Linked DNA regions of Lepisosteus oculatus. The protein of the gene in region 1 binds, or shares a complex with, the protein of each later gene. Links are inferred from orthologs where the notes say so. Each region holds a gene or a part of one and is shown on either strand. Other genes may lie near its edges.

Region 1 (15,056 bases):
TTGATCCTTAGTTAAGATGTCTGGGAAACATCAGACCAGTAGAAGTTCATAAAAATATTCTGTTCAGTTAAAAACCACTTCTCTTCCGTTTCACAGCAATATTTTATACTTTATTTTTCTGAAACACTGTTAAAAATGCTCTTCTAACTTTTACTGTGAATACCATACACTTAAATACATCCTCTGTTCTTGACCCTGAATGAATAAAAGACTTTGTTGTGCAAACTCTCTGTGGCTGCCTGGCAGTGGCTCTCCTGTCGGGGGGTCGCAGGTCTCTTGTGGGCCAGACAATTTGAGCTCTCGCTCCTTTTTCCCAGGGTACATTGGAGTAGTAAAAGACGCCACAGAATCGACGGCTCGTGTGGAGCTGCATTCCACTTGTCAGACCATCTCCGTGGATCGGCAGCGTCTGACCACTGTGTAAGTGCCTTTGGAATGAGAGGCAGTGTGAAGGGGGGGGCGTCTGTCCAGTGGTTAGGGTACAGGGCTTGTGAAGGGGGCCTGTCGGTCCAGTGGTTAGGGTACAGGGCTTGTGAAGGGGGGGGCGTCTGTCCAGTGGTTAGGGTACAGGGCTTGTGAAGGGGGGCCTGTCGGTCCAGTGGTTAGGGTACAGGGCTTGTGAAGGGGGGCCTGTCGGTCCAGTGGTTAGGGTACAGGGCTTGTGAAGGGGGGCTGTCGGTCCAGTGGTTAGGGTACAGGGCTTGTGAAGGGGGGCTGTCGGTCCAGTGGTTAGGGTACAGGGGTTGTGAAGGGGGGCTGTCGGTCCAGTGGTTAGGGTACAGGGCTTGTGAAGGGGGGCTGTCGGTCCAGTGGTTAGGGTACAGGGGTTGTGAAGGGGGGCGTCGGTCCAGTGGTTATGGGTACAGGGGTTGCTATCATAAGGTTCCCAGTTGAAGCTCCGGGTCTTCCTCAGACCAGGCATTACAGTCAGTTACTGAGTCTCTGTGTGTGGATGGAATGTCAGACTGAAGTGCTCTTGTCAGTGACTGGGCTGATGCCGTATTTCATTCTGTAATCTCTTTGGATGAAACCCTCAGCTACATGAGCAAAATATGAGTTCAGCTGTTATTACTTTAATCTGCTCTGCCAGGGGTTAGTTAATCAACATCTGACCACACTGGAGTGGATGAGAGGAACCAGCTTTTAACAGTTCGAGCAGCGCGCGAACAACGTTTTCTCTCGTTGTGTGGTCTGTTGGGAAACGCAGGAAAACGGATTTTCCCTGCACATCCCTCTTCCTCCTCAGGAGTAGTTTGCCAGAATAATTTCAGAGGAAAGAGAAACAGATGTTCTTTTGAACTTTGGGCAAAAAAAGAGGGGGAGTCGGCAGGGTGGTGTGCGTTGGGGCGCGTCTCCCCACTTGAATTCTGGTTCTCCACTGCAGCTGACTAGAACTGAAAGACCTGTCACCTGACTGTTTACTGCACCGCCCAAACACGGCCTGCCTGCCGCTCTGTCTCACCCTTTTGTGTGGACATTTGTGAGGTTTTTTTTGTCTGACCTTTGACTTGTCTGTTTTGGGGGGATTCACAGGGGAGCAAGGAGGCATGGAGGAATGACTTCCACACATGGGCGCACCCCCATGTACGGCTCCCAGACCCCCATGTACGGGACAGGCTCCCGAACCCCCATGTACGGGTCTCAGACGCCGCTGCACGACGGTAAGACCTCACCCGATCCCGATCCCATCACTCGATCCCGATCCTGATCCCGATCCCAGCCTTCTCTTGCTCTCCTGAGCGTTGGGGTTACAGCACACTGTCCAAGGGACTTGGTAATGATCCAGTCTTGAGCGCTCACAAAACTTGATCTTTCTGTTTCATGAAAAACATAGCATCTCCTCTTTCTCCAGATCTGGGTTCCACACTTTTTGTAGGCTCATGGATCAGGATCTGATTGGACTCTTTTGCCTTTGCCTTTAATACTGCAGCTGGGAACCGCACCCCCCACTATGGCTCACAGACCCCGCTGCATGATGGGAGCAGGACCCCAGGACAGAGCGGAGCTTGGGACCCCAACAATCCCAACACTCCCTCAAGGTAAGGCGCGCCCCCCCCCCTTCTCCCCCAGGGGCTGGCTGTCGTAGTTCAGTCTGATCACACGCCATGGGGTCCCTGGTCTCACCCCGTTTTCTCTTCACAGGGCTGACGAGGACTACGAGTTCGGATACGACGACGAGCCCTCTCCTTCTCCGCAGGGTTATGGGGGCACACCCAATCCGCAGACGCCTGGTTACCCTGAGGTGCCCTCTCCTCAGGTCAACCCCCAGTACAACCCACAAACACCGGGCACCCCTGCCATGTGAGTGACAACACCCCAATCCACCCATGGGCGCTCACTGCTCGCTGCCAGGGCACAGGGGCCTGCAGGGGTCCTGACGTTGCCAGCTTGTACCCACTGTTCCGCAGAATTCGGCACACAGCATGGGTCTTCATACCCGAGTAATCTCCACATCCTGAATTTGTTATCCTGAAGTATGAGGATACACAATGGGAATGCATGTGTGTTCTGTTTAGCATCAGTTCTGATTTTAGAAGAGCAGCTAGGTTAGCTGACAGGAGCGCTGTTGTTCCGTGGACAGGCCAGTGAGGGTATTGGAAGGTCCGCCCGCTTGCTGGCAGTGTGGTCGAAGGCAGCCTATCTGCCGGAGCAGTCTCCTGGAGATTGAGATGTTATCCCTCAATCCCTTCTGAGTCAGCACACTAGTCCAGGAAAGGAGGTGCAAGCCAAGGCGTTGAAAGAGTGTGTGGGTGAAGTCGTGGGTCGATCTGTCGGTGCTGTCCCACTCCTCTGACAGGCCTGACGCTGGACAGGCCGCAGTGAGCGCTGCGCTCATGTTCAAGCCAGCTGGAGGAGCTCGTGGAGACATGATGACATGGGAGCGAAGGACAAAGCTCTTGAGCCAACAGTTGATTTTTTTCTTGCAAGTCCGTCCAGTGTTGCTTTTCCTCCAGAACAATGCACAACCATCGGGTGCTACGATTACAATAGAAGGCTGCTGTGGAAAACGGTGAGGGGGTTTTGACTGGAACAGGTCTCCTGTCAGACCACCGGGGTCATGTTTTGTCTTGAAAGTGCGTGATGAGCGTGGTGTCTCAGCGGGGTGTTCTCCTGATATGCTAGTAACTCCACCAGCACAAACAGAAAAACGCTGCATCGGTATATCGAGAGCACTGTATGACGCACGTCGTGTTAACTACTTCCCTTGTCCTTGTTCCGCAGGTACAACACAGACCAATACTCCCCCTATGCTGCGCCCTCTCCGCAGGGCTCCTATCAGCCCAGTCCCAGCCCACAGAGCTACCACCAGGTGGCGCCCAGTCCTGTGGGTTACCAGAACACACACTCTCCTGCCAGCTACCACCCCACCCCTTCGCCCATGGCGTACCAGGTAACATCTTCCTCTTCCTCACTGTGAAAGATTACAGCTCGTCTCTCCACAGTACTGTTACCACATCGCCAGCCATGTCCCTACACTTCCCTGAGCATCAGTGGGTGCTTTCCTCAGTGTACTGTGGATGATATGTGGAATAACATCAGGAACCCATCCCTCCCTATAGGGGGGGTGTGAGCCAACACACTGTTGGTGTATAATTTTCTGTATCGTGAAAAGTTCTAGTGACTTCAAACCTATCTTCAAACTTCCGTGATGGCTGCAGTTAAGAAACAAGGAGACCAAAAAATAAAGCTGATAAAAGAAATTGATCAAGTCAGGTTTTGCGAGGTGAAATACTTGTGGTTGAAACACTGAGCTTGATTAACTGATTTTATTAGATTTTTTGGGTGATTGCTTAAAATATCTAAAATATTTTTTTGCATTTAAATTAAATCCAGTAAACTGTATTTACATATTAATCTCTGAAAGGTGTTGTAGAGAGATGAATTTAAACTGCCGATATCTACCATGCTGACTGTTTGGGTCCCCCTCCCAGGCCAGTCCGAGCCCCAGCCCGGTAGGCTACAGTCCCATGACCCCAGGAGCGCCCTCTCCTGGTGGGTATAACCCCCACACCCCTGGCTCCAGCATCGACCAGACGTCCTGCGACTGGGTCACCACTGACATCCTCGTGCGTGTCCGGGACTCCTTCCTGGACACCCAGGTGGTCAACCAGACCGGCGTGATCCGCAGTGTGACGGTGAGTGACCGCAGCCCTGCCGCTGGGGAGGTTCAGAGACTCTTAAACTCTCTGACCTTGACGCCCCACTGTGTTGGAGTCGTCTGACCGGAGTTTTTCCGACCTGGCTGCCTGAGGGTTGTTGCTGTGTGGATGGTTCTGCGGTGCGCTCGTACTTTCCTGTGCACGGCGTGGTGCTCCTCCCCGTGAGCCGTCCTAATCTGTCACACTTGCACACGCTTAGTTGTTGCCTCCTCCGAGCGGATGTCTCATGGGGGATCCCCCCAGGTCCACGGGGGAGCTGGGGGTGGCGTCTCTGGTCTGCTGTCCAGTCAATGGGCTCTGCGTGTCTTGTGTCCCACAGGGCGGGATGTGTTCCGTGTACCTGCAGGACACTGAGAAGGTGGTCAGCATCTCCAGCGAGCACCTGGAACCCGTGACGCCCACCAAGAACAACAAGGTATTGTCGGCTCCTGCCTGGAGCAGCTGTACCTGCCAGTGACGCTAAATCACTGTGCGGAGTGAGGCTTCCTGTCCTGACACTCACTGCTTTTAAAGCATGAAAAAAATAAAATGTGTCTCCTCTTTGTTCAGTACTTCGTTTGGGACACGGCAAGGTTTTCTAAAAGCCTTACCCTATAGTGCCCCCATGTGTTTTGGAAGGAGAAGTACACCCCCACATGCAATGTCAGTGTCTGCAGTAACAGGTTTTAATTGTAGCTGACATCTGTTTAATGGGTAACAGTGTTTGTCTGTGGATTCTGTGGGATTCAGCTCTTGTTGGACCCACTTCATGGCTGGACTCGGCTGGAGATCGGCTTTCCAGGGTGAATGTGAAATGTCTCTGTGTTGCTCAAGTCCCTGGTTAGAAGGATTGAATAACCTGAGGCCCTTTCAGGGTTCAGTCACACTGGGCCTGGAGAGGCACTGGGTCTCATTTTCCTGCCAGGCCAGATGAATGGAGGGCTGCAGGATCAGAGCTCTCCGGCGCCGGTGTTAGAGCCAGTTCGCACGTCCCCACCTCCAGCTGTGGCCAACGACGTGAGCTGTGTGTGTCCCCCTGCAGGTGAAAGTGATCCTGGGAGAGGACCGGGAGGCCACAGGCGTCCTGCTGAGCATTGATGGAGAGGACGGGATTGTGAGGATGGAGCTGGATGAGCAGCTCAAGATCCTCAATCTGCGCTTCTTGGGCAAACTGGAGGTGTGACCCATCCCTCCCAGCTTGAGCTCCGCGCATCCATCCCACTGAAGTTAGAGGAATGTAAAAAAACCATGCTTTTCCGTGGCGTAGCGTTACTTTTTGTACTTTCTTCGTCCTCCTGCTGTGGTGAGGCTGTGCGTATGTCACCTTTTTGAAGAGATGGAGAGTAATTCCGAGTAATTCCTAATTTGAGGAGAAGATTTTTTTTTCCTTTTTTTTTTAAACCTGCTGGAGACAGATTTTGGAGTGGCACGCTGCTCTGATTGTGCAGTGTGGAACTTAGGACTTATTTTCTGCTTTGTTTTTGTTTGTTTTTTTAGGCCATGAAATTCCACAATAAAAACGGCAATGGAGAAGATGTTGGGCTGAGTGGCTTGTTTTCACTCTCAAATTTAAAAAGTGTGCATCTTTGATGTTGTGTGTTCTTCACTGTGATCGTACCTTTGAGTGTTTTCAGTGCTTCTCTCTTGTTGCAGCAGGTTTCACCAGTTCCTGGCCCACTGCTCCCTGCTAAACAGTTACATATATGGGCAACAGATGAATTATCATTTCTTTTTAATCACCTTCTACATACAGTATTATTGTAGTATAATTATTTCAGACAATTACCAGGTAAATCTGTTGCAATTTACCTTATTAACAAGCAGTTAATTTATTACCTTGATGGTTGGATATGGTCATGCACAATTTTAATGCCGATTTAGTCACAGGCGTTTTTAAAGACATGCAGTGCATAAGGAATTGTCCAGACTCCCAACATACCTGTTCAGGCAATCGAACAGGAAAAGCACACTGGGCAAGAGTGGAGTGGTGGCTCTGTGGCTCAGGATCTGCACCTGTGGCTGGAAGGTTGCTGGTTCAAATCCCGTGGCCGGCAGAGGAATCCTACTTTCTTGGGAACCTGAGCAAGGCCCTTAACCCCAACTGCTCCAGGGGTGCCGTATAAATGGCTGACCCTGCGCTCTGACCCCAAGCTTCTCTCCCTGTCTCATGGAGAGCAAGCTGGGGTATGCAAAAGACAAATTCCTAATACAAGATAAAGTAAATAAAGCCAAGATAAAGCCAATAAAGTGATCTTATCAAAACGCAAAAGCAATCGCAGTGTTGCTGATCTGGGCCCCGTCTCTCCGGAAACCCGTCATTATAAACCTGGCACGGAGTTCTCGGACCTGCAGGGATCACTCGGTGACGTACCGCCCGGGACAGTGCTGGAAACTCGCCTCACGCCGCTGACCCCGTGACCCCCCTTCAGACACCAGACTAACCGTCCCGCAGGCGGGGGCGATCTCACACAGCGTTTGGTTCTCAGTTCATCTGGGGGGGGTCTGCAAAGCAGAACGAGGATCCAGTAGTAACCACAGCACAAAAAGAGATGAGAAAAGAGAGGCTGGCAGGTCCACAGTACATTTAACCACCTAAGCTGTAATTAAGCTGTAAGAAGATTCTGGATGTGTGCAGCAACACTCGGAGATCCTCTTCCACTCTCCTTTGAATGTTCTGCAACTGCAAACAATATCCCGGTGGAAGGTATCGGAAAAAAAGAATTACTCTGTTTCTGAAAATGTCTTTGAAATTCCAGACTTCTTCAAAAACAAGAGTAGTTGTTTTTTTACCGATAGACGTCTGGAAATGTCAAATCTCTTGAAAAGACCGGCGGTGTTGAAAGATGCCTTGTATCAGCTGCACCTTGGAGATGCAGTGTCTGATTGGATTTAAAATAGGTCAGTCGCAGCCAACAGTAATCCAAAAACTGCAGACTCGTAGGGGTTAGATATATTGAGATTTTTACGTGAGAAAATGTTTTCACAAACCTAACGTACTAAGAATCAAATTTGAAGTATAAGAATCCATCAAGTTATTGTTTTAATTTCTCTACTTGAAAACAAACGTTTTAAATTTTGATTTACGAGGTCAATGGCTATTAACGTAGAATCAGACCTCGCTCCAGCGAATTCGCCTTGTAAGAAGATTAATAGACTCGTTGACGTCACTCTACGTCTTTGGGGCGTGTGCCCTCACAGAGCATGGCCGCTTTGGCGCTTCTCGCGAAGGTCAGCGATTCCTACTTTTTGATTGGGCGCAACCTTTCGAGACACACCTTCAAAGGCGGGTCCTTCATCGTTCAATTTCCTATTGGGGCGTGCCCTTGTCAATCAAATCCCCCCCGTCCAATCACCACAATTTGTCCTTTACACTCGCGTCATTGCGACCGGTTGTGCTCCATTCAAGATGTCGGCGGGGTATGTATACAACGTGTGTGTCCGGACGAGCCGGGGCCTCTTGCGACTGGGACCCGGGATCAGAGCCGGTCCAGGAGCTGCGGTACCTGCCGGGATCCGGGCGATGCACTCTGACCGGCCGGCCGGCAGAGAGGACAGCGGTACCGGTGGGCTGGCTCAGGCCATCCTGCAGGACCGACTCCAGCAGCAGCAGCTCAAGAGCCAGGTCTGTGCACAGCCGCGGTTCTGTCTGTCTGTCTGGTTTCCACCTGTTGGAGGGAAAGACACGGTATACTGCAGGCGAGTACAGGCGAAATTTACACTTTTGTCAAGTCCATAGGAAGACGTATCTCTACATGTCGGCCTGCGATGGTGGTAAGTGGGTTCGCTGCTTTTGAAGCGAGTCAGCTGCCTGTCAGTGTCGGTGCTGCCACTGCCCCGCAGGTCAGATGTTCCCCAAGAATTTTCTTAATAATAATAATGATGATGATGATAATAGTGACGCGACGCTTTGGAACTGAGCTGTTACAGCGAGGCCGTCGTGGGCGACGTAACCTTGTCCGGGGAAAGACACCTTTTACCTTGAAAGAGCTGCTCTTTTAAATGACCGTTGCCGTTCATTTAGGTATATTCAAGAATATATCTAAATCTCCGTTTTGAAACCGAACTGGGTTTTTAAATCTTGCAAAGAAGGCAAGTCTGTTGTTGTTGTTTTTTTTTACTCCAAACGGGTGTGTCTCGATCACAGAGAGTAAACGCGTTGATGGTAAGCTAACGCGAATCGCCTGTTAGCGGGACAGGGGGGTCACGTCTAGTTTCCAGCGTCGGTGTAGTGAGTGAAGCCTGAGTTTTTTGCTCTGATGTGGTTTCCTGTTGTGACTGGTGGCTGGTGAGGTCGGGTAGATGGACTGCTAGTAGTAACCTTCCCGGCTCGTTCTCCCCTGGCGTCACTGTAGACTTTCGTAATGAAACACATGTCACGCTGTAGACGCATGTGCAACAATCCCCAAGTGGCTGAGGCTCACAAACTTCCTTACTGGTTAAAACTTAAAGAACAGTTACAAGCAGGAGGAGGCCGTTTGGCCCTTAAGCCTGGGTGCCGGCTTTGGCAATGTGACTGGGTACTTGTTCCAGACCCCTGCCGCCCTTTGTGTAAAGAAGTGCGTCCAGCTCTCGGCTGTGAGGGCGGTTTGCTGTCTTGCCGCGCTGGTGAGGGCATGGCTGGGCGCGAGATATCAGTGCAGAGCTCTGACTCCCCTGTGTGGGTGTTTTCAGGGGGAGCCGGCCGGCGACGCAGAGGGGCAGGGGCAGCAGGGGCAGCAGGACCGGGGCGATGAGAGGAAGCAGAAGGAGAACACGGCCTACGCCAAGAAGATCGTGCTGAGGCTGGCCGGCGTGCTGGCGCTGGGCGGCTCCGTCGGCGTGGTGTACCTCTTCGGTGAGTGGACCGCTCAGGGCGGGGCCGTCTGCCCACCCAAAGCCCTGCCCTCAAGCAGCTTGGATCCTTTGGGATTCCTGTCCGCTGGTATTGACAAGCCAGGACTTGGGCCTGGAGTCCCCACCTGGAGCAGCACTAGACCTGAGGGCCAGAGAGTGACTGGCGGGGGGCGGCTGAGGGGACCCACACTGGCCCCTGAGAGCTCCAGTTTCGTGGGATTCATGGGTCACTCCTTAAATCAGGGGACCCCCAACTCTGGTGCAAGGGAAAGTTTTATTTTAACCTCTGGAGCAGGTGATTGGTTTCATAAAGTAGTTTAGCTACCATCTGAAAGGAAAATGCCGAAAGCCTGTAGCTCCTTGGGTTTCACGCCTAAATCGAACCCGTTCCTTGACTGAGCTGGTGCCAACTCCCTTGTGGTCCGAGTCTTGACAGCCTGCTGATCGAAGAGCGGTCTGTAAGGCCTGGATCGGATCGGAACGGGACGACCCCGGGGCTAGAGGTGGTCTTTTTCTTATCTGTCAGTGTCCTGCCCCAGAGCAGCGAGAGCAGCTCTTTATTCCCAGGGATCCATCTGGGGCAGCTGGTGATCTTTCCAGACATTGATTCTGCAAATAATCAGAAGAAATATTTAGCTCAAGATCTGCTCCCTCCGGTTCCTGATGGGTGAAACTTTTTTTCTCTTTCTCCTGCAGGCAGCAGTTCTATGGATGAACAAGGGAACAAGGTACAGTCTGTTTCCTCTACAGGGCCGGAATGGGTAATATTCAGCTTCTAGCAGCTCAGAGAAGCAGGTCACTACAGGCTGGGGGGAATAAGAGTTTTCTTCAGTACTGGCACTCTGTTTTCAAGGGGATCTGCAAGGCTGTTTTTACACCTTGGTGTTATAGTGATAAGTGCATTTCAAACCACAATGAAACTACCAAATACACAGAAACGTACAACCTGCAATTTCAATCACCAAAGAGACAAAATTTCAACATATCTGCAGCTCCATATTAATTAATTAATTGCTTACACTTATATAGCGCTTTTCTGGACACTCCACTCAAAGCGCTTTACAGGTAATGGGGATCCCCTCCACCACCACCAGTGTGCAGCCCCACCTGGATGATGCACCAGTCCGCTCCCCACACACCAGCTCTCAGTGGGGAGGAGAACAGAGTGATGAAATCAGTTGAGAGAGGGGGATTATTAGGAGGCCATGATTGGTGAGGGCCAAGGGGAAATTTGCCCAGGACAGCGGGGTTACACCCCTACTCTTTTCAAGAAATGCCTGGGATTTTAATACAAAAGCAGGCCTATTGCACTGTGAACATGCTTCAGACCAAGTCAGTTTTGCTACCATAGTAATAGTAAAAATTCTGATGAATCTGACACGTACAAGGCAACACATTTTTAGGTGCTTTTAAGTTTTGCTTAAACGGTGGCGAGGCGCTTTGCGACAACATGGCAACCATACAGTCCTTTCACAAAGCCCATGTTTTTACACTTCATTCAGAATCTGTCAACTGTTGCGATACTGTAAATGAGTTTATTTTGTTGCCAAGGTTTAATTACCGGTCTGAGAAATTGGGACTGCAGTTCCCCTTTAAAACAGTAATTCAGTAGTTTGCTAGAAGATCTTCTCAACTTCAAGCAAAGGCGAATGCAAGTTCAGGGCTGTAGACTAACAAGTGTGCTTTTATGCAGTTACTAAACTGGGTGGTTTATTTCAAATGCAGACTTCCAGTAAGCAGGGGTGATCGGTGAAGTCTGTCAGGTGCCAAATTGAGTTTGTCACTTTCTTGGGGACCGTATGATAACCATATGGGTAAACTTTCTGTTACCTAAAACAGACATCACCGGATCCGAGATGTGGATTTCTGTAAAAGTTATTGTTCATTCTCATGCACATTTCGCACAGCTGTACCAATATGAATCAGTGCCATACATATGTGCAAATACTGGTCACATTTAATGTGATGGAAAAGAAATGTTATGTTCCACATTTCCGAGTAGCATGACTCCTGAGAGGGTTGTTCTAGAAAATCAGATTTAGAGTGTGGCCTTTAACTGCCGAATTCCTGATATGCAAGCTCAGTGCTTCTCAGTCCTGGTCCTGGAGTCCTCCTGTCTGCTGCTTCTGTGGAGAACTGGGGGTATTTCCTGCCGGTTGGTCTTGTCTGGTAACGTGATCCAGGCTGCATTGTGAGTGAGGAGTGGGGGTCCACTTCAAAGAGCACACTTCTGGCCCAGGTGTGAACCTGGAGTGTGCTGGGAGCTCACTTCAAAGAGCACACTTCTGCTGCAGGTGTGAACCTGGAGTGTGCTGGGAGTCCACTTCAAAGAGTGCACTTCTGGCCCAGGTGTGAACCTGGAGTGTGCTGGGAGTCCACTTCAAAGAGCGCACTTCTGGCCCAGGTGTGAACCTGGAGTGTGCTGGGAGCTCACTTCAAAGAGCGCACTGCTGGCCCAGGTGTGAACCTGGAGTGTGCTGGGAGCTCACTTCAAAGAGCACACTTCTGGCCCAGGTGTGAACCTGGAGTGTGCTGGGAGCTCACTTCAAAGAGCACACTTCTGGCCCAGGTGTGAACCTGGAGTGTGCTGGGAGTCCACTTCAAAGAGAGCACTTCTGGCCCAGGTGCGAGTGTGGGTGTGGCGTGGAGAGTGCTGGTGTGTTGAGGAGGAGGTGAGTGGTTGCTCACGTGAGCTCAGGGGTGTGCAGACGCTCGGTCTTGGCTGGGGAGATGGGGTGTGCCGTCATTCACTGCAAGAGAGCTTGCAGTTTTGGTGTGTAAACACTTGAGGAGAACAGTAGGTGCAGGGTAGTGTACTTGGTGTAGCTCTGTGCATCCTGCGGTGAACGTGTCCAGCCCAGAGCCGTGCTCTAGTGTTGTTGAGGCCTGGGTGCTGTGACAGTCCCGTCCTCTGGAACGATCGGGGCGCACTGCCCCCCCCCACCGCACCTGGATGACAGCCCTGTGCCCGGAGGTGTGCCGGTTTCCCGTGGGAACTGGAGTGGCCCCAGCCTCCCTCTCTGCAGCTTGGTGCGAGGCTGTTAAGTGGGCTGGCAGGTTCCTGGACACCCCCTTCACATACAGGCGTCAATGCCTGTGATGCTGCTGCTAAATACCTGTTGGCACTCGGATCTGTGAGCTCACGCCCCCCGAGGCAGGCTGGGGAGAGCCCTGGAGCCGCAGCGGAGGAGCTCTCGGCCTGCTTCTGTCCGATTCTCTGAAAAACATCCGGTTATCCCGGCTTCTTTTAAAAAGGAAGTTCTTCCGTGAATTACATGAACTATCTTGAGTCGCTTTTAAGTATGGCAATGCATTCTCGGGTTTTTTTAAAACTTTTTATTTGATGATGGAAGGATTTACAGGTAGAACATATAAAGCACAGCTAAACACACTTAAAGTAATCTACTGCGTTTGTCTTTCATTTTACAATTATATTTTGTGTTTTATGTCATTACCTATTTATATGAAGTTAATGTAAACAGGAGGTTATGAGTGGAAATGCAGTCGGCAAAAACATAACCAGCTATCAACACAAAACAATGACTTCATCCTCTTCACAGAGCAGAACCGGGTCTCAATGGGCCCACAAACTCAATCCAGGTGTGCTGGTATTGGCTAAACCTCTCGCCTATAACCCAAGAGTGATGGTGATCTTTTCCATGATGTAAAATTCCTTTACAAAACTGATCCACTGTTGAGATGCTGGGGTTCATTCTCTTGTGGTTTTTTAACTGTCTGCTAAAATAATCTTCCTTTTACTTTCTGAGATTATTTTGAAGGCACTATGTGAAATGAAGCCTTCCAGAATCGGTTTGATGGAACATTTGACCCTTTTCTGGCTTCTAAGTAAATCTTGGACAGGATTAGAGTGTTGCCTTTTTAGATAATTATTTGTTTGGCTAGTAGATCACTAAAAAATAAAGACTTATTCTGTTTAATTCCAATACACCTCCGATCCAGCTCTTAAAACGTTTCGATTTAAGGTTAATCGTTTTCCACAACGCGGTGTAATGTTGTAGGTGACCACCAGAGGTCAGTGTTCTTGTTGAGGTGAAGGAGGCTCAGTGGGAGACGGGCGGCTGTCAACCGTAAAAAGCGTGTTTGTGATATTAGGTGCAGTAAAGGGAGAAGCCAAAACTTTAATATCAAAAACTAAAAATACTTATGGTAACAGATACTGACTTGCTGCATTTTTTATTGCTCAGATTGCACAGTTTGGGCATTGCAATGCGTTTTATTTTCTATGGAAGAAGTTTTCACCTTATTTGCGCAAATTACTAATTGGCCCCTTTGAGCTTATAATTGACAGCTTTGATTCTGTGGGTGCGTGCGTTGCCTTTGGGAACTGCAGGCAAGGCCTCTGAGATACCAAGAGGTCCGCCTGACAGACAGCTGCGCTGCTCAGTAGTAACCACAAGAGGGCGTCTTGTTGACGTCTAAAATCTAAATTATGAGCAAGTAAAGGTTTATTCCATGCTGGAAAGACAAGAAAAAAGAACAACGTTTTGGCTGTGGAGCCTTCTTTTGGTTGTTTCTTTTCTCTGGAATAAACCTTTACTTCTTCCTTTGCAGCCGATTCCTTTGCAGTATACGCCGATACCTAGTTGAACTAAATCCAAATTACACTAGTCTTTTTTTTAAAAAAGTTTTGTATAAATCCTTTTCTACCACATTGACTGTACCGTGATGGCGATTTGCATGGTGTCCATGCATAGTGCACATTTGCACATTTTATTCAGCTTGTAATTGTGAATATTGCGATCATTTACAGCCCATCAGTGCTAATTTCCTTGTCCTGCTGTCGAATCAGGGGAGCCAGTTCAGTCTCTTTGGGGCACAAAACCAGAGAGATTAGAGAATGATTGAATCGGCTAGTAGATAAGTAAAAAAAGGAGATATTTGGTTTAATCCAGCACACCTCTGTTTCAGTTTACGGGCTCTTTAAATGGGGTCGGACCCCAACATGAGGAGAGGCAGCTGCAGGATCAGTGAAGCCCACAGTCGGTAGTGGTGTTGCCGCGAGCACGATGTTGGTGTTTGCCCTGCTGTAGGGACCGGGGTAATTCGGCCCGCAGTCAGTCCCCCTGTGGGAAAACAGAACTGGGGAGGATGTCAATGTGGTTGGGGGTCCCAGAGCGGGCAGGGTGGGTAAGCGGGCCCCCCTCTCCCCAGTTCCCACGCTGTACAGCTTGTGGCTGTTTGGGAACCCCTCCTCACCACCACCAGCTCGAGGGGGGCTCAGGCCTGCTGGCAGATGTATCTGAATTATTCATCTGTTTGGCAGATTAATTTAATGTGTAATTGAGCGGATCGGACTCGCTCACCCTCTCTCTCTCTCTCTCTCTCTCTCTCTCTCTCTCTCCTCTCTGTTTCAGATTCCAGATGAGTTCGACGGTGGTAAGTGTGACTGATTCTGTTCCTGATTGTTTTTTCTGTTTTCTGTTCTCCGGGGGGGGGTATTCCTGATCATATCAGAGTGAGAGGAGTGATGCCTGTGAGGAGAGCAACACAAAACCAGGGGGTATGCATTTAAAACCAACAAGGCCCTTCTTTACACAAAGTGTTGTGGGGGCATGGAACAAGCTGTCCACCCTTGTTGTCAAAGCTGATGCTCAGGCATCTCTTAATCTGCTGGAGATCCTCAGATCATTCAGCTACTAGCAAAGTATAGATTTATATGGGCTGAGTGACCTCCTGTCTGTGATGTTTCTGATGTTTATGCACTGGATGTGTAATACTGACTGTGTCTCTGGAAAAGCGAATTTCCGGCACATCCTGGTTTCATAGCTGCCTGCAGGGGGGCCGTTGATCATGGTGAATGAGCTGCGTGTGTGTGTGTGTAGCTCCTGCCGATGTGAGGTTCCCATAAGGCCATGCAGCCCTCCCTGCCCCTGGCTGGCTCGCTGTTACCCTCCTGCCCCCCCCACCCCTCCCACCTTCTGGTCTGCCTCTCTGCCAGGAGTGGCGCCTTGGCGTGGCCATGATGAATGGCACGCCCCGTGATCAGCGCCGCTCCGTGCTGCGGCGATGCGCCCCGCGCCAAGGGGGGACAGACCAGCCACTGTGCAGCCACATGCCACCCCG
Region 2 (14,855 bases), on another chromosome or scaffold:
CTGTGAACTGCAGGTCCCAGACGGCCAGCTGTGCTCCAGGATACCCCCAGCTCTGTGGTGCCTCAGAAATGCACCATGTGAACTTCCCCTCCAGTCTCCCGTCTCGACCCTCCGCTGAAGGGCTGGGTTCAAAACGGAAAACGAAGAGACCCAGGCGCTCCTGAGGACCAGGCCGGGCAACGCCATCCTCACCGTCCTCTCCAGGGAAGCAGATCGGGGCTTACAGCTCCACCTGCTGGCGGGTCTTAGCTTACACACGGCTTTTGATCCCTGTAAAAAACACCGACCAGCACTTGCAACCGTGAGGTGGCTCACTCGGCCTAGCTTCGTACGCGTGGTGCTGCACGGCAGAGGCAAAAATAAAAAACCGTCTCCTCTCTGTGGAGCTGTGGGGAAGGCAGTGACAGACGTGTCCCTGTCTATGACGCGGGTGTCGAGTGTTTCAGCTGGAGCGCAGGGCCTCGAGGGGCCTGCCTGTCAACGCCACCCTTATCAGTTCCCTGCTAGGCAGCTCAGTGCCAGGATGCAGATGGGGCTGTGAATCACTTCGCCACAAGGTAAAAAAATCCCCCTGAAACCCCATGTGAACTATTTGCAATTTTTGTTTATTCTGCAAAAATGCCATTTTTCATCCCGTTTCCCAAACTGTCTGCTTAAACAGCCTCTGCTGCTGCATATGTGTTAGTGCTACTGTCTCAAGGTTGTCAGTTAAAGAGCCCTACTGCTCCTCCTGCCACAGAGGCACAGCCACTTTGTGACTGGTGTTGTGTCCACTGTGGGCTGTAAACAGCAGAGCTGGAGGACAGAGAGAGAACACAGCATAGCCTGTTGGGACAGCCCGTCAGGAGAGAGAGAGCACAGCCTGTCGGGAGAGAGAGAGCAGAGCCCGTCAGGAGAGAGAGAGAGAAAGAGAGAGAGCAGAGCCTGTCGGGACAGCCCGTCGGGATCGGGATCGGGAGAGGGAGAGGGAGAGAGCACAGCCTGTCGAGAGAGAGAGAGAGAGAGCAGAGCCTGTCGGGACAGATCATGAAGAAAGAGAGAGCAGAGACTCTCAGGACAGATCGACAGGAGACAGAGCACAGACTGTGGGGAAAACCTATCAGGAGAGAGAGCACAGACTTTCAGAACAGCCCATCAGGAGCGAGACAGTACAGCCTGCTGGGACAAGTGCATGCAGGTATGAAAAATAAAGCAGGATCAACAGTCCCAAATCTGACATGACCCCTGAGTTGCAGTACTGACAGTAGGAACTGCGCTTTCAGTATGGGGTTCTCATTAACCCCCAGTAGCACCAATTTAACACGTGCTTCTTCATACATATGTAGATATTAATGACTGTCCTGGGTTCGACGCACCTGGACCTGTGGGCTGCAGGCTGAAAAGCAGGGCTGCTCAACCTCCAGGCCCGGGCCTGCAGCACCAACCGCACTCCGACCGCTTGTTCGGCTGGTCCTGCCCCCTCACGGCCCGTGACTCACGGTGCAGGACCAGACCGGACCGCTTCACGGGCTGCGGCGGGCTGCGGCGGGGCACAAGCGCTGCGTAGGAACAGCGCCAGCCGGGCGAAACGCCAGCGCACTCTCGCTACGCGCGAGTGGTGCGTTCACGCTCAGAAGAGCGAACTCCGGGCGTGCAAACGGGATCGAGTTCTGCTCCGGTTATTTTTCTTACTCCCAGAGTCCAAAACGAGCTTTTCCAGGCCCTCTGACAGGCCTCTTCAACTTGCAGTTTATCCAAAAGGCATAGAAACGCAGAATCTAAGCGATGGAGATGCGAAGCCTGACAGTTTGTCTTTTGTTTCTCAGAGAGCGGGGATCGATCCGAATCTGATTTGTTCTGCTCCAAGTCTAAATTCCCTCCCTGCGTGCGACACTGTTTCAGGCCTGTAAAGGGAATCTCCCAGCGTGCTCTGGGGGAAGGCCCTGCCAGTGTCCCAGAGCAGCTTCCTGGCCGTCTGTCTCTCCCTCTCTCCTCCTGTTGGTCTGTCTACCCGGGTCACAGTGAGAGTGCCTGCTGCCCAAGGTCCGGTTCTCGGCCCTACTGGTACTGTCCAAACCCGCGGTACCCCTGCTGCTGGCTCGGGTCCTTCGGGGGAAGCTGGCTTGGGTCTTCGACGAACGGGCTCGCTGCAGGAGAGACACACAGGCAAGCGCCGAGCGTGAGATGGCACCGGCTCTCCCACGACGAGCAGGAAACTCTCGATGCGAGCGAGCGAGCAGGCGGAGTTGGGCAGGGGGGGGGTACTCACGGTTCTGGAACTGCTGGGCGGTGTATCTGGTGAGCAGGATGCCGAAGCCCTCAATCAGAGCCAGAAGGACCCCTCCCATCATGGCTGAGCCCACCATGGCCAGCGGGCCGCCTGAGAGAGGACACACACACACACAAACACAAAAAGATGTCAGCCTTGCTGCCTGGCACAGGGGCTCACTGCATAGTGACCGGGCTGCGGGACAGGGTGGATCTGAAACTCGTCCCCTTATGAAACAGACAGACGTGTCTGGTTAACTGGCCACTGATTCGACCTCTGGAGCACATTCTGCTCAAGAACCTAAGGACTTAAAAGATCTCAAACCTAGTTAACTTGTTTTTCCTGCTGAGTGTTTTATGGCGAGCTAATTTACTAATTTTCCTGGTGAATGTTTTAAGGTGACCTAGTTTACCAGCTGCACTGTTTTTTTGCATTTTATGGTGAGCTAGTTGACTAGTTGTTCCGGGGAGTGTCTTCCCGGCGAGCTAGCCGACTGCTTTTCCCGGCGAGCTAGCCGACTGCTTTTCCCGGCGAGCTAGCCGACTGCTTTTCCCGGCGAGCTAGCCGACTGCTTTTCCCGGCGAGCTAGCCGACTGCCTTTCCCGGCGAGCTAGCCGACTGCCTTTCCCGGCGAGCTAGCCGACTGCCTTTCCCGGCGAGCTAGCCGACTGCCTTTCCCGGCGAGCTAGCCGACTGCCTTTCCCGGCGAGCTAGCCGACTGCCTTTCCCGGCGAGCTAGCCGACTGCCTTTCCCGGCGAGCTAGCCGACTGCCTTTCCCGGCGAGCTAGCCGACTGCCTTTCCCGGCGAGCTAGCCGACTGCCTTTCCCGGCGAGCTAGCCGACTGCCTTTCCCGGCGAGCTAGCCGACTGCCTTTCCCGGCGAGCTAGCCGACTGCCTTTCCCGGCGAGCTAGCCGACTGCCTTTCCCGGCGAGCTAGCCGACTGCTTTTCCCGGCGAGCTAGCCGACTGCTTTTCCCGGCGAGCTAGCCGACTGCTTTTCCCGGCGAGCTAGCCGACTGCTTTTCCCGGCGAGCTAGCCGACTGCTTTTCCCGGCGAGCTGGCTGACTGGTGCCTGGTGCCTGGTGCCTGGTGTCCCCGTGCTGCTGGCGCGGCGGCGCGGTCACTCACTGCGTGCGGCCAGCACGGCCCCCGTCATGGCGCCGCTGGTGATGGAGTTCCAGGGGTCCTCCTTGCCCCGCAGCTTCACCAGGCTGCAGTCGATCGTGGAGAAGAGCCCGCCCCACACCGCGAAGCTGCCTGGCAAGACACACACACACACACACACACCGCAGGGCGTCACCCCGGAGCGGCTCACTGAGCAGGTCACAGGAAACCTTCAAGTTTCACAGGGGGCTAGCGTATTGCAAGCCAACAGCAGACACTGGCGGGGGAGTCTGCACGTCTTCCTTAACTGGGGGCAAAGGTGCACTGATAGACTGGAGTTTGATATGCTCTGTCATGCTTCACACATGCAAAGAGACAGCACAATAAACCTGCTTCGCTATACTGCAAAAATGCATCTCATTTGTTTGAACTGTCTTTATCGTGATTTGTTTCGCTTTTTTGTATAATGTTTTGCGTTGTGTTGTATTATAGACTTGTGTGAGAATGGCCTACTTTTTGTACCATAGCGTAACTTTAATACTGTGTATTACACTGTGCGTGACCTGAAAAGTACGTACTTTATACAATTGTGCACAAAATCTAGAAAAAAACTGAATATCTTACCAGGATATTCTGGTATCTGAAGGTGAACATCTCACCTTGTAATTTACAAATCAATTAATATTAAATACAGTACTATACAGACCTGAAACCCCATGATCTAAAGTCCTGAATGCACCAGCTCACAACTTGTGGTCTGAGGACCCCTTGTGGACAGTTATGTTACTACAGGCCATAGTAGAGACATAGTGATGTGAGAAACGTCCTGTCTTTAAAGTCTGCAAAACAGCACCAGCTATCTTGATAGGCTACTCAATACACAATGGTCACACACACACGGGCACTGTCGTGCTTGGTTTTTATTAATATATTGAGTTAATGAATAGGAATTTAGAAATTTAAGGTGCATACATCACAAATGTTGACAGCGCGTGTTTATCGTGTCTCTGTGTTGCAGCTCTTAGTGTGCCAGATCTCTGCATATAACAGTGTGTTATAAAAACCAGAAACCAGAAACAGCCTAACCGCAGCTGCGTAAAGCAGACTGAGGGGTGACACTCACCTCCGATTTGGGGCGCCCGGATTCTGACGGCTTTGGCGCTGCCCCTCAGCCTGTGTCGCATGCCCTGCACAGAGAAACGCCTCTCTGTTAGCTGCGGTTTCCCCTCAGAGACAAGACCACACGGTACCGTACTGGGAGTCCCCCGTGGCCTTGATCTCAGAAACACTGTGTATATGCACCGCAAGAACAGTGGAAGCTCTGACTGCAGTGCAGTGCTCGTACAGCACTTTCTCCTCGCCCAGCGGTTATCTGCTGAGGTGCTGGACAAGGACTGGCACGCAGTATGAACAGCAGCGCTCAGAGAAAAGCCAGAACAGGCTGCTGTGGTCCTGGAGAGTTAACGGCAATCCTACCTGACAACCGAAGACAGTTAAATTGAAGCTCTTTCCTGGAGCAGCTGTTAAACAGTTAAATGAGCTCCACCGTGCAGAGCAGGTGAGAGTCTTCCTCTACTCACCACAGGGGCGTTGCGGAAGCCTTTGACGGCCTGAAAGATGCCCCCTCCTATTGCCCCCATCGTGAATGCCCCCCCACAGTCATCCACTATCCTCCACGGACTGCAGAGGGAGACAGAGGGGGCGGAGGGGGGATCAGGGAGTGTTACAGGGAAGAAGAGGGACAGGGAGTGGAAGGCCAGGGGAGAAGAGGAGGAACGTTGGGAAGGAAAAGGGAGATCGGAAAGAGAGGGAGGGCAGGGGAACGAGAGGGAGAAGGGCAGGGAGAGGGAGATGGAGAGGGAGAAGGGCAGAGTCGAAGGACAGATTAAGAGATGGAGGAAAGAAAAGGATGAGAGAAATATGGGGAGAAATAAAAAAGAGCTATTAACAACCCATCCAACCAGTATCCCAAAGTCTCGTAATCCTAGTAGGGGCCATGGAAACTCAGAGCCTATTCCAGAACTATAGGGCTCGGCTACACTACACCCTGGACAGGACACCAGTCCCTCACAGGAGACACACACACCCCGGACAGGACACCAGTCCCTCACAGGAGACACACCCACCCCGGACAGGACACCAGTCCAACACAGGACACACACACAAATCCTGGAAGGAATACTAGTCAATCACAGAAAACCACAACCGACAAAATCAACATATTTTACAGTAAGAACACATCAGCGAAGTGTTTAAAAATAACCAAAAGCAAATCACACTGAAATACACTACTGTCAATCCTGCACTGTGTTTTGCAAACGTACGCACCGCACAATTGTTAATAAAATTAAGATCAATAACGTATACAGCCTATCCGCGTATTCAAAACACAGACGAAACCCTGATACTACAGGTCGAAGAGAAACTGTAAGGAAAACATTTGAAACGCAGCAACTATTACTGTTCACAAAAGGTCGTGAAACACGTAATACGTCAACGATTTTTTAAACAACCTGCGTGAAGAATACTGAAGTTTATTTGAGATTTGACCTGATATTTCCAAGCAGCCAAATCGGTATTATATAGATTAGGACTATCGTTCAGTTACATAACTAAACAAGCTCAACTTGACATGAGTAAAAACAAACATTTCGTGTGGCTAAAAGCCAAATAGACTCGGTATTAAAAAGGTCATAAAACACGAAGCTAAAAACGTTTTTATTATCTCCTGCAGCATTTTAAAAGCTAGCTCTCCACTGGGCTGTACATTACCAGGGCTCTCGAGCGTACTCCTCCATCTTAACCACACAAACACAACACTGGGGGCTGATGACGTACGAAGCCGGCAAGGGCAAGCGAAGAAAGCACGTGTCATGTGACAGGAGTGCACAGCCCCTCATTGTTGAAAATATAGAACGTTTCCACGTCTGGCTCAGTTGTATGCGCAGCAGGCGGCCATATTAGTAGAGCTTGAAATTCAGTCCTCGTTAGGCAAGTAGAAATCGCAGCGCAATGTTCTAGACGCTCCATAGGAAACAATATGGGTCTGTAGAAATTTTATAAACTGAATTTCAGGAGCTGGGATATAAAACATGTACAATATTAATGTACCACTGTAGCGGTGAATGCATTATATATACAACTTGTCTTTGTGTTATTTAGTAGACACATCAAAATCTATAAAACGGATACAGCCCACTATGCAATAGCAGCAATGCGAGGAGACTGCACGAACCTGTCGTTAATATGACAGGTGGTTGATCTGTTTGAGTGGACATCTATCAATATGCTTTATATGATGTAAATGCAGATAATGAGCACAAGAAACCAAATATCACTAACATCTGCAGAAGGCTTCACAGCCGAAACGTTGTTTTCTCTCTTCTCTTTTCAGCATGGAATAAACCTGTTATTTGTTCCTTTAATAACAGAAAGTTTATCAGAAAATGTTTTAACCTTATTACACCAGCTGATGGCTTAAGATTTAAACGGTTTTCAAGAAAAGACTCGTTATGCTATCAAGTATTCTCTGCACTCCACTAAGATGGCGATCCGACTACACAACCTCAATGACGTAATCTTCTCGTGCCTTTTTATCACCTTGGCGACTGAACGTTCGTCACGTGAATGCGTATGCGCGCGCGTCTGTGTGACACGTCACTTACGCGACATTGTCGTCGCTTGCCTGTGGCCGGTGTCTTAATTTGCGGCGAGAAATTGGAGATTACATTATTAAAATCAAGCCTGTGTGAACATCAGTGCGGGTTAGAAGCGCATGTGTTGGATAAGAGGGCACCGCGAGTCGGAAAACGGAGGTGTGCTGTATATTTGAGATAAAAAGGGGGTTGGAGATTCAGAGGTGGTGTCGCTGGTCCGCCTGACTGGTTTGTGCGCGGTACTCAAAGGTAAGCAGGCTGCTGTCGTGAGCGGCACATCCAGATTGTTAGACAGACGCGCCATATAGGTGACGGGCGGACGCGGTCGTCTCCTGTAGCTCTTCCAGGGGCTAGCAGCTAACCGCTCCAGCCGCCTCTCGGAAAGAGCCGCGGCGCTGGGGTCCGGCAATATGGCTGTGCAGTCACTCTCCCACGACCCGCTCTCTGTGCACACGATGCAGAAGTGCTTTCAGTGTTCAAAGTGGGAAAACCACCTCTGAGGCCTTATAGCAGAGTAACCCTTGATGAAATTAGGCAGCTCCTTCGCACAGTGTCTTTCTCTCTGTGTAGAGGTGTACAGTGCTGTGTGCAGACTGTAGTTCTCTCAGTACAGTGTTATATAGTGCAGTGCTGTGTAGTTCTCTCGGTACAGTATTATACAGTACAGGGCTGTGTAGTTCTCTCGGTACAGTATTATACAGTACAGGGCTGTGTAGTTCTCTCGGTACAGTATTATATAGTGCAGTGCTGTAGTTCTCTCAATACAGTATTATACGGTACAGGGCTGTGTAGTTCTCGGTACAGTATTATACAGTACAGGGCTGTGTAGTTCTCGGTACAGTATTATACAGTACAGGGCTGTGTAGTTCTCTCAGTACAGTATTATACAGTACAGGGCTGTGTAGTTCTCTCAGTACAGTATTATATAGTGCAGTGCTGTAGTTCTCTCAGTACAGTATTATACGGTACGGGGCTGTGTAGTTCTCTCGGTACAGTATTATATAGTGCAGTGCTGTGTAGTTCTCTCAATACAGTATTATACGGTACAGGGCTGTGTTCTCTCAGTACAGTATTATATAGTGCAGTGCTGTGTAGTTCTCTCAATACAGTATTATACAGTACAGGGCTGTGTAGTTCTCTCAATACAGTATTATACGGTACAGGGCTGTGTAGTTCTCTCAGTACAGTATTATACGGTACAGGGCTGTGTAGTTCTCTTGGTACAGTATTATACAGTACAGGACTGTGTAGTTCTGGGTACAGTATTATACAGTACAGGGCTGTGTAGTTCTAGGTACAGTATTATACGGTACAGTGCTGTGTGCTGATTGTGTCCTGTATGTCCCAGGATCAAGGATGCCCCTCCCTCCTGCCTTACTGGCTCGTCTGGCCAAGAGAGGAATTCTTAAACAGACGGAGCATGGTGAGTCTCCCAGCCCAGCCTGGATATTAATACAACACAGCCCAGCGCAGCACAACCTGTCTGGATATGAACAAAACCCAACACAGCCCAGCGCAGCACAACCTGCCTGGATATTAACACAACCCAACACAGCCCAGCCTAGATATTAACACAACACAACCCAACCTAGATATTAACACAGCCTGGCGCAGCCCAGCCTGCCTGGATATTAACACAACACAGCCCAGCCCAGCATTGATATTAACACAATACAACACAGCACAGACCAGCGCAGCCCAACACAGCCCAGCCCAGCCCAGCCTGGATATTAACACAGCCCAGCCCAGCCTGGATATTAACACAGCGCTGCAAATTTTGGATCTTATCGCATATCTGAATATGAACATGGCTATACAGTAAAGCGCAGCCCAGCACACAGTTCTTTGTACGATACAGCACAGTCTGCTTTACAGTGCTACTGGCTAGTCCAGGCACGGATGTATAATTATCAGATGCTAATATTTTAATCATTAAAGATTGAAAGCAGAGCCTGTGTAGGCGAGCCCACTCCAAGAACATGCTGCCGGGACAAGCGCGCTGTCTAGGAGCTGACATTCCAGGTGGACAGGTGTGCGGCCAGGTGTTTCCCTGCTTTCTCACGGTCCTCTGTCGTCTTCCCTCCAGAGGCCGAGGAGGAGATCATCGCCGAGGACTACGACGACAACAACGTGGATTACGAGGCCACCCGCGTGGAGAACCTGCCGCCCAGCTGGTACAAGGTGTTCGACCCTGCCTGGTGAGGAGTCCGCCCCTCGTCACCAGTTCACCGCCCTCGCCCAGCCCAGCTGCGGATTGGGCTGGCTAGACGTAAAAACACAACATCCCTTCTGATGTAGAAACCTCTTCTCCGTCACCTTCTCTCTTCCGGACCCCCCGCAGCGGGGATACGCGATCCCAGTCCTCGAGGATCTGGGCTCCTGTGGGATTTAGAGGCTCTTTTAATCGGCAAACTGAAGGAAAACAAAACAGGCCAAATACTTAGTTCAGTCAGTAAAGCAAGGACGTTCCGGCCTGGGGTGAAAACCGGAGGGAGTGGAATTGCCTGCCCCAGCCAGCAGTCTCCATCTCTTACTGCCTCTCGGTCCTTCCCAGAGTCCTCTGCTTCCCTCTCTTCCTCCGCTGTCGGGCCTTCAGCCTGGGGTTCGGGGGCGGGGTCCTGGGTTCAAATCCCAGGCTGCTGTGCCCTTGAGCAAGGCTCTTCACCCACACTGCTCTGGTCAAAGACTCATGGGTACACATGTGGGCCACCTTGGATAAGAGCGTCAGCCCAAGCAGTAGTAATTATCTCTTGAAACGCTTTCTCTGCCGCCCCGCAGCGGTCTGCCGTATTACTGGAATGTGGAAACTGACCTGGTGTCCTGGCTGTCCCCCAACGACCCCAATGCCGTCATCTCCAAAGCGGCCAAGAAGCTCAAAGGTACCGCCGCAGAGCTACAGTCAGACAGCAAGTCGCAGGCCTGCTCTCCCATCGCACACGCGCCGGGGGAGGGGGTTGGGTTTGCTGTCGTGCTTTACTCTTTACAGTGTGGCTTCTTTTCCTCGCTAGTGTCCACTAACCAGCAGAGCTGTGAAAGGAATCGATCGGGTGCTGGCCTGGAGCGCCAGTGGGTCGCCCCCTGCTGGAGGGCGAGGCTGTGGAGAGCCAGCAGTCTCTCATGTCCCCAGGGGCGGGGCTTGGGCTGGAGGGCGGGGCTGTGGAGAGCCAGCAGTCTCTCATGGCTCCAGGGGCGGGGCTTGGGCTGGAGGGCGGGGCTGTGGAGAGACAGCTGTCTCTCATGGTCCCAGGGGCAGGGCTTGGGCTGGAGGGTGGGGCTGTGGAGAGCCAGGTGTCACTCATGGCCCCAGGGGCGGGGCTTGGGCTGGAGGGCGGGGCTGTGGAGAGCCAGGTGTCACTCATGGCCCTAGGGGCGGGGCTTGGGCTGGAGGGCGGGGCTGTGGAGAGCCAGGTGTCACTCATGGCCCTAGGGGCGGGGCCTGGGCTGGAGGGTGGGGCTCTGGAGAGCCAGGTGTCACTCATGGCCCTAGGGGTGGGGCCTGGGCTGGAGGGTGGGGCTGTGGAGAGCCAGGTGTCACTCATGGCCCCAGGGGCGGGGCCTGGGCTGGAGGGTGGGGCTGTGGAGAGCCAGGTGCCTCTCGCTATGTCTCCAAATCCTGTTCTGTTGTTCCCTGCAGAGGTCGAGGAGAGGGTGGAATGGGAGGAGGTTAGAGAGAAGAGGCAGCACCGCAGGGAGGACATCGCCCCCTACAGCAAGTTGAAGAGAGGTACGGACACACAGGCAGTGGGGAGAGTGTGGAGTGTGGAGAGTAACAGTCCAGAGCTGCACCTGTTGAGTGGGAATGGGGAGCTCTCCCACCTCCCACTGTATCTGAGAGGATGTTTCTCCTGTGTCTGCAGGGAGAGAGCGGAAGGACGAGGAGATGGATCCCATGGACCCCAGTGCTTACTCAGATGCCCCCAGGTGAGTGACCCCGCCTCCCTCCTCCCCCTGCACCTCCCTCACTGCCCATTCACCAGGACCTCCCCCTCTCTCCCCCCCTGCACCTCCCTCACTGCCCGTTCACCAGGACTCCCCCTCTGTACCTCCCTCACTGCCCATTCACCAGGACCCCCCCCTGTACCTCCCTCACTGCCCGTTCACCAGGACCCCCCCCTGCACCTCCCTCACTGCCCGTTCACCAGGACCCCCCCCTGCACCTCCCTCACTGCCCGTTCACCAGGACCCCCCCCTGCACCTCCCTCACTGCCCGTTCACCAGGACCCCCCCCTGCACCTCCCTCACTGCCCGTTCACCAGGACCCCCCTCTGTACCTCCCTCACTGCCCGTTCACCAGGACCTCCCCCCCTGCACCTCCCTCACTGCCCGTTCACCAGGACCCCCCTCTGTACCTCCCTCACTGCCCGTTCACCAGGACCCCCCTCTGTACCTCCCTCACTGCCCGTTCACCAGGACCTCCCCCCGTCTCTCTCCTGCAGGGGCACGTGGTCGACCGGCCTGCCCAAGCGGAACGAGGCGAAGACGGGGGCCGACACCACGGCCGCCGGCCCCCTGTTCCAGCAGAGGCCGTACCCCAGCCCGGGCGCCGTGCTCCGCGCCAACGCCGAGGCCACCCGGGCCAAGGAGTGAGCTGCCCTGCGCCGAGGCCACCCGGGCCAAGGAGTGAGCTGCCCTGCACCGCGACAACCCCGCGGGGAGTGCGTCTGCCCGGGTTTCTGCTTCCTGGTTTTTTATTGGTTAACTGAACTAATTCCACACAGCGTTGGATCAGCTGTCACTGCTCTGCAGAATGCAGGCTCTCCGCTGGTCATTCTGTCCACCGTTTTCTCGTTGGTGTGTTTTTGAAAATACCCCATCCATACCGTCGTAACAACAAAGATGATAATCGGGACGGTGCCTCTGGTAAAGCTCCCCTTCAGAGCCTCCCTGCATCCAGGAGCCTGCCTGCCTGCAGGAGAGCTTTGCCACACAGCCCGTCAGGAGCGAGTGTCCCGGTGGGGTACTCTGCATGCTCTCGGGTTTGTCTGCGTCTGTGTGAGGGGCTCCCCGCTGGGCCCTGGACCTTCATCAAGGGGGCAGCTGAATCCTGTCTGCACCCTACATGAGTCCTGCTTAGAGCAAGATTCATTTAGGAAGAAGAAATGAGAAGCAGGATCTGGGAATCTGTGTCCCAGGAGACACCCTTGGTTAGCAGGCTGGTAATCTAGGATTTACGCTAAACACCCCCTAACCAAATGCGTGTATCATCTTAAAATGTGTGACTAGCAATTTAATGTGATCCGCAAATTATACTTGGATGCAATTGGCTCGGCTTAAGATACAAACCCTGTACTGTTTGCTGTATATTCTTTTCTATTTTGATAATTTTTAAAGAATGATCAAATCTCTGAGTTAGGTGTGTTGAATATACACTTCAGAAGACACATCGCTTATTTATGTTTGTTTTGTAGAAAAATAAAGTATTCAGATTTTGGATACGGATTAAATATTTTTGGTGTCCTATTAATTAAATGATTATTCATGACTGATATAGCCAGTGTCTATATGCATAGCCACTAAATGAGACATTGATTGGCCACGTGATTAAATTATACATTTTTTATGCTCAGTGTCTTTAATTTGTGCGTTTCAGAAAAGGGAGAAGCTCTCCTAACGTTTAACAGCAAAGCTCTCATCTCAAGGTGTGTAATGAGCACATCTCACGCACAGAAGACAACACTTTGAACACAGGGTTACAGTAAAATACACAAGATAAGTGTTTCCATTATCTACTGAAAAAATAGATTGGTAATTCTATGTGGCCATTTGAAATTAAGGAGTAAAAAAAAAAAAGTATTGGACAAGTCCAAATTAAAAAGTTTAAAACATTACACTTTTTATTTTAAAACATTGGATACTCAGGAGCTGCAAAATCCATTTCTTCAACCAGTAATATATAAATATATTAACAGAGCCTCTTTTACTGAAAACGAACTGCAGACTGATCTTTTCTATAATAATATCTTCTGCATTCCTAGAGGGTCACCTGCAGTCTGAAGAGAAGGTGTAAAACAACACATGAGTAAGGAGGCTCGGTTCTGATCCCAGATCCTGTACCCTTCCCGTGGGCAGTACTTGCATCTAGGTTAAGACACTGGGTCCTCTCCTGTACACAGCTGCTCAGTCTGTCACCCAGACTCCCTGCAGCAGGAGGGAGAATTTGTTTTTCTACAGTGTCTACATCACCCGTAGCCCCGCTCCAGTTCTGAAGAGCCACAGGCCCCCGGGTTTCCACGTCCCCTTAAATCGGCAGCACCCCAAGAGCTCCTCCGCTGTAGCCAATCAGTAGTTGGGGTTGTGAAGAGCCCAGCTGTGGGGAAGGGGTCAGCCTGGGCTACATCATTGGTTCAGGAGTGTGGCGTTATCTTCTCACAGTTCTTATAGTGACTGTAAACCTTACCAGCTGTCTTACTCTGCCCTGGAACACAGCTCTGCGTGATTTCCAATAAAACACCATGTTAAAGTTGCCGGCCGGTCATGCTGTCCATCTCTTCTCTTTCTCCCAGCTTTTGCCTGTTTTAGAAAATCCCCCCCCCCACTCCACTACTCAGGTGGGTTAACACAATAGTCAGGGAAAATCGCAGGAAGCTTGATTAATTCTTGAAGACTTCGTTTATATATGTATGATACATGTACTTTCACAAGTTACCATTAAAAAAAAAAACTTTTAAAAACAAACTGTACATTATATCCACCTTGTACGCCCTCCTGAAACCTGACACTTCCCCGAGGTCCTCTTGCACAGTAAGCTCTCCAACGACGTTCCAGGGCTTTCTGGTGCAATCCGGGAGTGTCAGATGTAACCCTGCAGTCAGTTACCAGAGACTCGGGCAGCTCACCCACAGTGGGGTGATCCGTCTCCCTCGTAGGTGATGACGCAGCCTGGGGCAGAGTTTTCAGCTCTGTGAGTGTGAACGTAACAGTTCCGGCCAGTCAGTGAGGTCCAGAGCGGCTTGGACTACTTTATGTACACGAGGATCTGTGCTCTGTCTCCCTGCAGAGCCTGCCTGCCTGGCTTTTACACCAGCGGCACACCCACCAGGGGAACACACTGTGAGCACTGCCTCACCCCAGTCTTCCTCCACATGGCAGGTCTGCTGTCAGTTCACTCTTGCAGAGTCTCAGCTCCGCCCCCCCCTGCCTGCTCTCTCCCTACCCCGCTGGTCCCTGGTGCGAAGGAGGTGGCGGAGGAAGTGTGGGCAGGGGGTTGGTCATGTCAAGGTCACACATCCGTTCCTCCCACGTAATGGCAGATGGCATCGTAGTCCAGCTTGAAGACCTGCTCCTCGTACCTCTCCAGCTGAACCAGCGCCCTGCACTTCTCCTTGTCCCGCTGGAGAATATGGCCCACCTGTGACACACCCCCCCCCCCCCCACAGATTACAACGGGCCAGCACGCTCCTCGGGATCCCCCTTCGGAGCACAGCGCTCCAAGTAGGAACGTACATAAACCAGACTCAAAATACCATTAACGGTTTGAATGCTGACTCTACAAATAACACTCAAAACCACTGCAGCAAGAACATGAAAGGGTTACAAACGAGAAGAGGCTCTTCTGCTCATGTTGCTCACTGGGTTGCTAGTATCTGACTGACTTCAACCAGCTGTTTATTAGCAGAAGGCAACATGGCCAAGGTAGCCCACGACTCGGGTGCCCTCTGCTCGGGAGCTGGGGGTGTTGCAGAGTGCCCCTGGAGACGGAGTGAGACAGAGTGAGACTGCTGCAATGAGAAAGGGAGGGGGACAGCCAGGCCCCCCTGCCCCCCAGGATGAGAGCTGCTGCTGGGGTGTGGCGAACGATGTCAGGAACGTTTCAAGAACGGTCCAGCTGGTGGCAGCAATCAAAG

The links.
Region 2: timm50 (region 1) and timm17b share a complex: the UniProt entries of both Homo sapiens proteins name them as parts of the TIM23 complex. The link is inferred for Lepisosteus oculatus from reciprocal best matches to the Homo sapiens genes TIMM50 and TIMM17B.

Annotation. Positions count from the first base shown.
Region 1 is NC_090698.1:2,305,682-2,320,737, forward strand, and holds the start of timm50 (mitochondrial import inner membrane translocase subunit TIM50), read left to right. Parts: upstream 1-7,494; 5' UTR 7,495-7,545; coding exon 7,546-7,761; intron 7,762-8,810; coding exon 8,811-8,973; intron 8,974-9,668; coding exon 9,669-9,700; intron 9,701-14,347; coding exon 14,348-14,369; intron 14,370-15,056. Other genes in the region: supt5h (transcription elongation factor SPT5), read left to right, coding at 318-420, 1,534-1,661, 1,931-2,039, 2,143-2,301, 3,223-3,391, 3,933-4,136, 4,480-4,575, 5,182-5,322. UniProt on the Homo sapiens protein: Essential component of the TIM23 complex, a complex that mediates the translocation of transit peptide-containing proteins across the mitochondrial inner membrane. Has some phosphatase activity in vitro; however such activity may not be relevant in vivo.
Region 2 is NC_090697.1:75,080,536-75,095,390, reverse strand, and holds the start of timm17b (mitochondrial import inner membrane translocase subunit Tim17-B), read right to left. Parts: upstream 6,211-14,855; 5' UTR 6,154-6,210; coding exon 6,128-6,153; intron 5,036-6,127; coding exon 4,936-5,035; intron 4,543-4,935; coding exon 4,479-4,542; intron 3,509-4,478; coding exon 3,380-3,508; intron 2,360-3,379; coding exon 2,249-2,359; intron 2,127-2,248; coding exon 2,038-2,126; 3' UTR 1-2,037. Other genes in the region: pqbp1 (polyglutamine-binding protein 1), read left to right, coding at 8,368-8,434, 9,098-9,209, 9,790-9,890, 10,646-10,735, 10,869-10,932, 11,448-11,598; gpkow (G-patch domain and KOW motifs-containing protein), read right to left, coding at 14,231-14,359. UniProt on the Homo sapiens protein: Essential component of the TIM23 complex, a complex that mediates the translocation of transit peptide-containing proteins across the mitochondrial inner membrane.